Callithrix jacchus: one gene and its partner. The protein of the gene in region 1 purifies or fractionates together with the protein of each later gene. This does not show direct contact. Links are inferred from orthologs where the notes say so. Each region holds a gene or a part of one and is shown in the gene's direction. Other genes may lie near its edges.

What was found.
Region 2: the proteins of BTRC (region 1) and HIVEP1 purify together in Homo sapiens (affinity purification with mass spectrometry; 5 studies listed by BioGRID and IntAct, counting the BioPlex papers as one, with this or other methods). This does not show direct contact. The link is inferred for Callithrix jacchus from reciprocal best matches to the Homo sapiens genes BTRC and HIVEP1.

Annotation. Positions count from the first base shown.
Region 1 is NC_133513.1:94,307,484-94,311,648, forward strand, and holds the start of BTRC (F-box/WD repeat-containing protein 1A), read left to right. Parts: upstream 1-1,354; 5' UTR 1,355-1,473; coding exon 1,474-1,521; intron 1,522-4,165. UniProt on the Homo sapiens protein: Substrate recognition component of a SCF (SKP1-CUL1-F-box protein) E3 ubiquitin-protein ligase complex which mediates the ubiquitination and subsequent proteasomal degradation of target proteins. Recognizes and binds to phosphorylated target proteins.
Region 2 is NC_133505.1:18,641,902-18,646,032, reverse strand, and holds the start of HIVEP1 (zinc finger protein 40), read left to right. Parts: upstream 1-1,326; 5' UTR 1,327-1,415; exon of another isoform or gene 1,416-1,517; 5' UTR 1,518-1,781; intron 1,782-4,131.

The DNA of each region.
Region 1 (4,165 bases):
TAGTGGTGAAGTCTGAGATTTTTGTCATCCAAGTAGTGATGAATCCCCATTTCTTGGCTTACTATTTGTGAGGTGAATGAATGAATAAAATAGTTTAAAATGCAGATTTTTCCCATAAGTGAAAAAGTATTTTCTTAGTTCATTAATTTTATAAATTAAGATATTTTGGTCAAGACTGTGACAATCTAACTCCCTTTTCTTTTTCTTTTTCTTTCTTTTGACAGAGTCTCGCTCTGTCACCCAGGCTGGAGTGCAGTGGCATGATCTCGACACACAGCAACTTCCGCCTCCCAAGTTCAAGCAATTCTCATGCCTCAGCCTCCTGAGTAGCTTGGATTACAGGAGCGTGCCACCAAGCCCAGCTAATTTTTATATTTTTAGTAGAGACTGGCATTTCTCCGAGTTGGCCAGGCTGGTGTCAAACACCTTACCTCAGGTGATCCACTCGCCTCGGCCTCCCAAAGTGCTGGGATTACAGGCATGAGCCACCGTGCCCAGCCCTAAATCACTTTCAACTAAACCCTAGAGTTTTTCCTCCTAAGGTAGACCCAATTTCCAAAATAAACTCATATTATATCTTTTAAGGCCAAAGAAAATACTTATATGCTTTATTTGCTGGAGGCCATTATATTCCACTGTTAAAGGGCTTTTGTAAGAACCTGTTTGACCCTTAGTGCAGGGCTTACATCCCAGGGTTAGCAATAACAAGCTATGTGCTTTTTGAGCTCTAAACGCCAAGAATTTCCTGAGCCGAGTTCTATTTGCCCTGAAATGCTGTGGGAGAGAAAAGATTCCTCGGGAGACGTGTGGGTGGCAATAGCTTAGGAGGACCTTGAAATGCTGCATTGGTGTTTGAGCTGCTGCCAGGTGCCCACTGGCCCAGCTCCTCTGGGTCGCAAATCTTCCGCAGACGCCAGATATATGAAATCTGGGGACGTTCAGCTCTCTAAAACCACAGTTAGGCAGGCTCTAGGACCCCTGATTCTTCTCACAGTTTTACTTAGCATTTAGGCTACAGGTGAGGCGTTGGTCGCCATCTTGATATCAAACGCCCGGCAAACCGCTACTGGCGTCCCTCGGTAACCACGGAGACACCCATGCCCCTCCCCTTTTCGTCCTTAGAGGCTGTAAACTACAATTCCCATCAGCCGATTTCCTCTGCTTGAGGGCAAGTTATCTAAATCTGACTCGTCGGCAACCGCAACGCTACCGCAGTGAACTGTGGGAGTTGCGGTTCACGGCATAGCCTCAGTTTTTGCTTCGGGAAGCTTTAGAACTACTAATCCCGTGAGCCAGTGGGCTTTCGCCTGCCCACTGAGAAGCTGATTCTTCTTGGCCCCATCAGCCTGTGCCTGAGAGGTAAGAGAGGGCGGGGGGAAGGAAGAGGAGGCGGGATCCGGGCGCTGCGTTGGCTGCGGCCTGGCACCAAAGGGGCGGCCCCGGCGGAGAGCGGACCCAGTGGCCTCGGCGATTATGGACTCAGCCGAGGCGGTGCTGCAAGAGAAAGCACTCAAGTTTATGGTGAGGAGACGGGGCAGGCGGGGGAATGGCGGAGGCGGTGGCGTTGGCGGCGTTTTGGAGCTCGGGCCTGGGCCGCCAGCCTACTGCCGGACCGGGCAGCGGGACCCTGGGCCGAGGCTGGCGGCAGGGCGGCTGGAGGGACGGGATGGGAGCTCCGGAAAGGAGGCTGGGGATTGCGGAGCGAACCCAGGGGTGGGGGCAGCAGCTCCGCCATCTTGTGGATGAGAGGCCAAGTGACAGCGGGAGCTTAATCGAGGAAGGGGCTCCTGGCTGCGCACGGGGCCCTGGAGGGAAAGGGGCGTGGGGACAGTTACTGAAGAGCGGAGGGAGCTCTGTGGAGAAGCGCCGTGAGGCCGCTGCCTGGGCCTTTCCTGTGTCAGGGTACGAGTAAGGTCCGGGGAGGAGGTGCATTCAGGACTGGGGAGGGGGAGTGCGGGATAGAGAGCAGACAGATCTTACGGGTAGAGGGGAACGGGCAGGGCTGGATATAGATGGATTTAAGGGTGGAGGAGGGAACGCTAGGGCTGGTGACAGGCTTATACTTTTGTAGAATGAGCAGGGAGAATATCCTTTGCCTTGAAGGTGGAATCCCAGCTTGGCCAAACTAATGTTGACAAACTCTGGAAGGGAAGAGGCCTCACTAAAGAAGATAACGACTGGGAATGAAAACGTAGGGCTATAATGACAGTCCCTGGGAGGGGAAGAGCATGTTTACAGTAAACTAGAATTACAAATGTCAGGGAGAAGGATAAATACTCTACTTTGAAAGGAGAAGCTAAATACTGTAGGAAGGGCAAGGTGATGAAAAGTAAGAGGAAGATTGGTCAGGGAAACGGGTACAGGAGATTGGGGGCAAAATGAATGTCTAACGAGTAAGCAAAACAAAATTTGAAGCTAAATTGTGGGAATGTAAAATGTGGAGGCCAGGTGCTTTGTATCATTTTCTGGGAAAGGAAAGGCCGTGGAGAGTTGCAAAGACCCTTAAGAAGTGATGAGATCAGTTGAGAAATTCAGGAGATAAAAAGGGTGGAGGTAGGGAATAAGTCAGTGGTAAGTCAGGATTTGTGATTACCCATCAGTTTTAGGTTGAAGCACAGTGTGAGCAAAAATTGGATTTTGTGGGTGTGTTTAAACCCCTTGGAACCTCTAACTTTGTATCACGCTTTTCTTTTTGCTATGCTTATCTATGGCAAACTTGTATAGTCTGATATTTGATGCTTTTAATCTGATGCTTCTTGTATATCCTAGGTGTAAAACCAGCCTTTGTGGTTACAACTAAAGAGTGATGGAATGCGTAGACTTTAACAGGTAGCCTTAGGGACATGGATATTATTTGCAGTCAAGTCTTGCTATTTCAGAAGTATTGTGACTTGTCCCTCCAATCTTACTCCTTTGCTTAAAAAATAGTTATTTTGTATATTTGCCTAAAATACCATAACAAATCCAAATAAAAATGGATACTAACTTAATTGTATTTTAGGCTTTTAAAGTGCCCCATTTAGAGGGAATACTTCTTCAGAAACTAGTCAAATTTACTAAAACTTTATTTTGCATTAGTGTTTTCAAAAACACCTAATTAAAGTTCAAGGGTATCATTAACAAAATTTTATTGAGCCTGAAGAAGGTTCTTGGATTTCTGCCCAGTGTTAAAATTCTAAATATAAAGAAGAGACCTTGAAGTTTTATTGGACTTTAGAAGTAAGTGAAAGTTACTAGACTTAAGTCAGAAAACTAGTACTGCTTATTTTTGTTTTTCTACTTAGAGGGATGATTTTTTTTTTTTTTTTTTTTTTTGAGACCTAGTTTTGATCTGTCACCCAGGCTGGAGTGCAGTGGCATGATCTCGGCTCACTGCAACCTCTGCTTCCTGGGTTTAAGCGATTCTTCTGCCGCAACCTCCGGAGTAGCTGAGACTACAGGTGCGGACGACCACGCCCAACTAATTTTTGTATTTTTAGTAGAGACTGGGTTTCACCATGTTGATCAGGATGGTCTCAATCCTTGTGGCCTGACCGCCTTGGCTTCCCAAAGTTCTGGGACTACAGGCGTGAGCCATTGCGCCCAGACGAGGGTTGACTCTTAATCCTTATCCTCACACTTGTGTCAGATTTATTGAATAATGTGATTTACAAAACATAAAGAGACATTGTGAGATCATCCCTTTTACTCTCAGTTAGACTTCAGCCTAGGAACATTCTTAGCTACTTAATCTCTGCTTTGTACCAGTGAGTTATGTTTTGATAATGGCCTCCTAGTTGAGTTAAAGTGGATTTGGAGATGATCATGTAATAGTTGCAGCTTTTAGGGGCACCACACGTTATTAAATCTTGAATCAGTTTCCATAGGGAGAAGCCAATTTTTTCTTTAATTTTAGTACTTTCGTTATTGACCTTGCCTGCTGTTCTACAAAAGGTCAACTAGAAGAGGGTCACCAGAATGACACTTTAATAAAAGAAACAGAGAATGAAGAATTTGAGATTGGGTATTCTCTTTCAGTGCAGTAACAGTCTTTACGAATCTAAGTAAGTCACAAATTCATTTGGTGCCATTTACCCTGCTATAGCATGTCTGTTTATTCAGTCAATTTTAAGAAAGGAAGATGATTGGGCACGGTAGCCCACACCTGTAATCCCAGTATGTTGGG
Region 2 (4,131 bases), on another chromosome or scaffold:
TTTGAGCATCTGACTATTTTCTGGATTCCCCCATCAGGGCTTTATCATTTACCAGCTTTGTGGCTTGCAGGAAACGATGCAGCATTTCTAAGCCTCTGTTTCTTCATCTACAGTGTGGGTTTATGGTGGGGATTAAATAAGTTCATACAGAAAAACCTGGCAAGTCGTAAGCTCTCAATAACTGTTCGTCACGACCACTACCATTACTACTACTGCTAACCAGCCTCCGTATGGACCCTAAATCCATCAGTAACAATCACTTTCCTTAAAAAGACCATTCTCAGGCCAGATGTCTCCAAATGGCTACCAACTGTTCGTAATATCATGGCTTAATTCCTTCCAAATGATGACTGAGTAGGCTCTTTGCTGGTTGCCTGTTGTCTGCCCATTCTGTCGTCCTAGCTCATTACTAGAGAACCCACCCTTCCCATTGGCCCGGGGCAATCCAGGTGTACATCTCTCATCCGAGTATAATTATTAATACTCTCCCTTTCACTCTTGAAAGTGTCCTGGTGTGGGTGTTACTTGTATCTCATTTGCTGAGACTTTCTGCTCTAGGTGGAAAAACCATCACACACAGTTCACTTGCTCTCACCTTCAAGAGATTTCCCTCCTCTGTAATGCTGTTCATACACCACTGCCAAATTGTGAACTTTCTCTCCTTCAATATCCCACTGAGAACTCACGCTCAGGATGGAACTCTGCTCACCCTGTCCTCTACTCAAGCAGAAGCTTCTCTGCGATCATGTAAATAACTGTATAACTTTAATTGGCTCTGTTTATAAGCCTCTTATATCTTTTTTCCCTCTAGGTATTTTTCCTTGTGTTTATCCTGTCTCCATTAATTTGTAATCTCCCAGAGGGCAAGGCCTGAACGCAGGATTCTGTTGGTGTAAAGTGTAGTCACAGGTAAGGCTGATTGCTAGACAGCGCCATCCTTTACTACCAATCTGTTAAAAAAAAAATCCTTTGTAGTACTTTGTTAGTGATGGTCCCGAGACTGCTAACCTAATGACAAACTATATTCAGTATCTGCTAGTGTCCAAGCAAGAGAAAATCAAGTTACACGCTTTCCATAATGTAATGGGGAGGGTGTGCGGATACTCTGACCCGTAAGGGAATTTATGATGAATGTAAAGCATGTTATAGAATGTGTTGCCTTTAGAGATTTATTCTTGTCTTTTCAAGGTTGCAGGACTGTCTCAGAAGGAAAATAATATTTATCTTCCAAACTGAGATCTAAAACCCGAACAAAACCGCAGGAAACATACTCCACCACCATCTTACAAGTTTGTGCTCGGGTGGAGGAAAACGAATCTAAAGTACGAGGCCTCCCTCTGTGCGTCTAGCAGGAAAGACCACATGGCGCAAGTCTCCAGGATCACTGGAGGGGTGGATTGTTCATTTCAGCCCAGGTAGCAACAGGAAGCCCGTGCAAATGCTCCTCTCTCGCTGCGGGGCTAAGGAGTGTGGGTCCTTAGCCGCGGTTACCTTCTCGCCTTTCTCGGAACCTGCAGGTGGAGTGCGGAAGATCAGTGTATCTTCTCGGCGCCGAGCCCAAGGTAGAAAGCGATGGAGGCGGTGCACTAGATAACATCAAAGCCCCCGGCAGGGGCCAGAAAGGGGGGCACCGGCAGCCCGGGGAATGAAGCGCCTCCCTCTAGCATTTCCTCTCACGCCCACTTCCAACCTAGGAGGCTTTTGGTTTCTGCTTTTGTTGTTTTTAAAATTAAAAGTTAAACCCAGGAAGCTTTGCATCAGACTTTTGCGGTGCAGTTCGGGTAAGTTTTTCTCCGGGTTCTTTTGTCTGGCGCCTGACTTGGGAAGAGCCTGGGCGTGGGGCAGAGTTGGCAGGGTGTGCGGAGAAGGTTTTGTCGCCGGGTCGCCCAGAAGGTTTTGTCGCCCGAGGAGGAGGGGATTCGGCCGGTGGACGGGAAAGCCCGGAGCGCGCCGAGGGTGGAGGGTGGAGGGTGGAGGGTGGAGGGCGGAGGGCGGAGGACCGAGGGGAGGGACGGGCGGCGTGACCCGGCGGCCGGCGGGGAGGAACCTCCGGGATCTCCGCGTGGCGGTGGCGGTGGCTGCGGCGCTGCTGGGCCGCGCTCTGGGCGGAGGGCCGGGGCCCCGGGGCCGCGCCAGGGGGGAGCCGGATCCGGGCTGGGGCGGGCGGCCGCGTGGGAACTGGAGCCGGGTACGCGGCGGCGGGGGCGGGCAGGGTGGCGCGGGGCCCAGTGGACGCGGCTCCGGGGTGGACTTGTGCCCTCTCCAAACTGTTTGGTAAGAAAAACGTGTGTAGATCTTTTCAGTGACACTGTCCTCCCTTGAACCGCACTCTCCCCCAGGAGGGGCTCCAGAAGCGTTCACGCGGACGGTAGAGATGGATTCCTAGAGAAATGGTCCCCTAGGAGCCCCCTCTTTTTTGGGGGTCAGAGAATGATCACTCGCTCCCGCATTGTCCCAAGATTTTTGACAGTTGAAAATGCAGTTTGCCATTCATATTCACCCTCTGCTTCATTTTTTCCCACGCTCTTTATCTGATACATTTTGAGAAAATATAATGGATTTGCCACAAAAAAAATTAAGCCTAAAGAAGATACTTTATAGCCTAGCCAGATTTCCTTGCATCCGGATATCTAGGAAGAATTGTAGACAGAGTTAGGAAAAGAAACTGCATTTAGAAAATTCAAAGACTTACCAGGAAACTATTCTGTATTGTATATATTTCAAATAAAAGTTTAATATCGGTTTGCTGCTCAAGGAAATAGTTGAAATGTCAAAAATTTACCTATTATGATTCAAAATTGCATGTATGTCTTGTGAGAAAATTCGTAGTAATGCTGAATCCTACATAAACACTGTGTTGACAGTATGGTATGCCCAATAACAATTGGGTTAAATGTAATTCATTCAGTTAGCATTTTTCACTTCGGAAGTGATACAAACTCCACTCATTATCAAATTACCTTTCTCCTGACAGATCCATAGCTATACGTTCACAGTTAAACGCATGTTTATTTTTTGATTCAAATAACCTAGTTGGGAAGTTACATTATATACTTTTTTTGGTGATATCATTTCATTTCAAAAAAGAGAGATGGTTATATCACATTGAAAATAGAAATTGCACTATTTCATTGTAGGGTTAGCATTAGTACGCTAGACATTCTTTTACATGTACACAGTTGGATGATCTTTGCTTTTATAACCAAATTATAGTAGGCATATTTCCCCCTTTAGATATTATTTTTGGCTACAAACTTGCCATTACCGAGTATTCCATTTTTAATCATTCCCATTCTGGTGCTCTGAGCTTTTCTTAGCTCAAATGAGCTAGAGGTAGGATTTCCTCAGGGGAATTTTAGGGGTCAGCTCTAGCAGGAAAAACCTAGACGTCGTTATGGAAGCCCAAGGGAACAAAACAATTCAAGTTTGCACAGATGGCCAGCTGTCTTAGTGGGTGTATGGTCGTTTGGCATTTTTATTCCTTAAAAGGGGAAAACAGTTTAGTTTCATCAGGGATTTTTTTTCTTTTGCATCAAATTTTTGGTTTCACCTTATTCCTCCCAAGTTCGAGGTGGCCCATTAAACCAGCCACTCCTGCCTGCTTCTTGAGGTGCACGGGTGGAATTTCTGTGCCCCAAACTGCGTACGTTCTTTAAGTCTAACCTTGAAACCTACGTTGCCCTGGTCCATACCCTCTTCACTGCTTTGCCGTGGATTTCCACTCCTTGCTTCCTCTACTGCTTTCTAGCAGCCGGGGTCACACTCTGGTTCATGCTAATTACTCCCTCTTCCCCTTTCACTCCCTCCCCAGCGTCCCTGGAGCCCGGTCCGACGCCCAGCCCCGCATCCCCATGTTCAGTCCCCGAAGTCCCCTCCCGGGGCGGCCCTAAGCTGTAGGGCTGGCAGGCAGGGGTTAATTGCGCTCGCAGCTTCGGCACTGGAAAGCACCAGCGAGGCTTTGGAGCGGCCTCTGGAATAACCTTGGCTTTCCTCGCTCTTTTAATAGAACATCCGCCACCAAAAAGTGGTTTCAGTTCAGGGTTAATATTCTGTCCCCTTCCACTCTCCAAACCAACACCCCTCCCCCCTCTGGTTTTTTTAAAAGTTGTTTTTCAAAGTTAATGAGTGTCA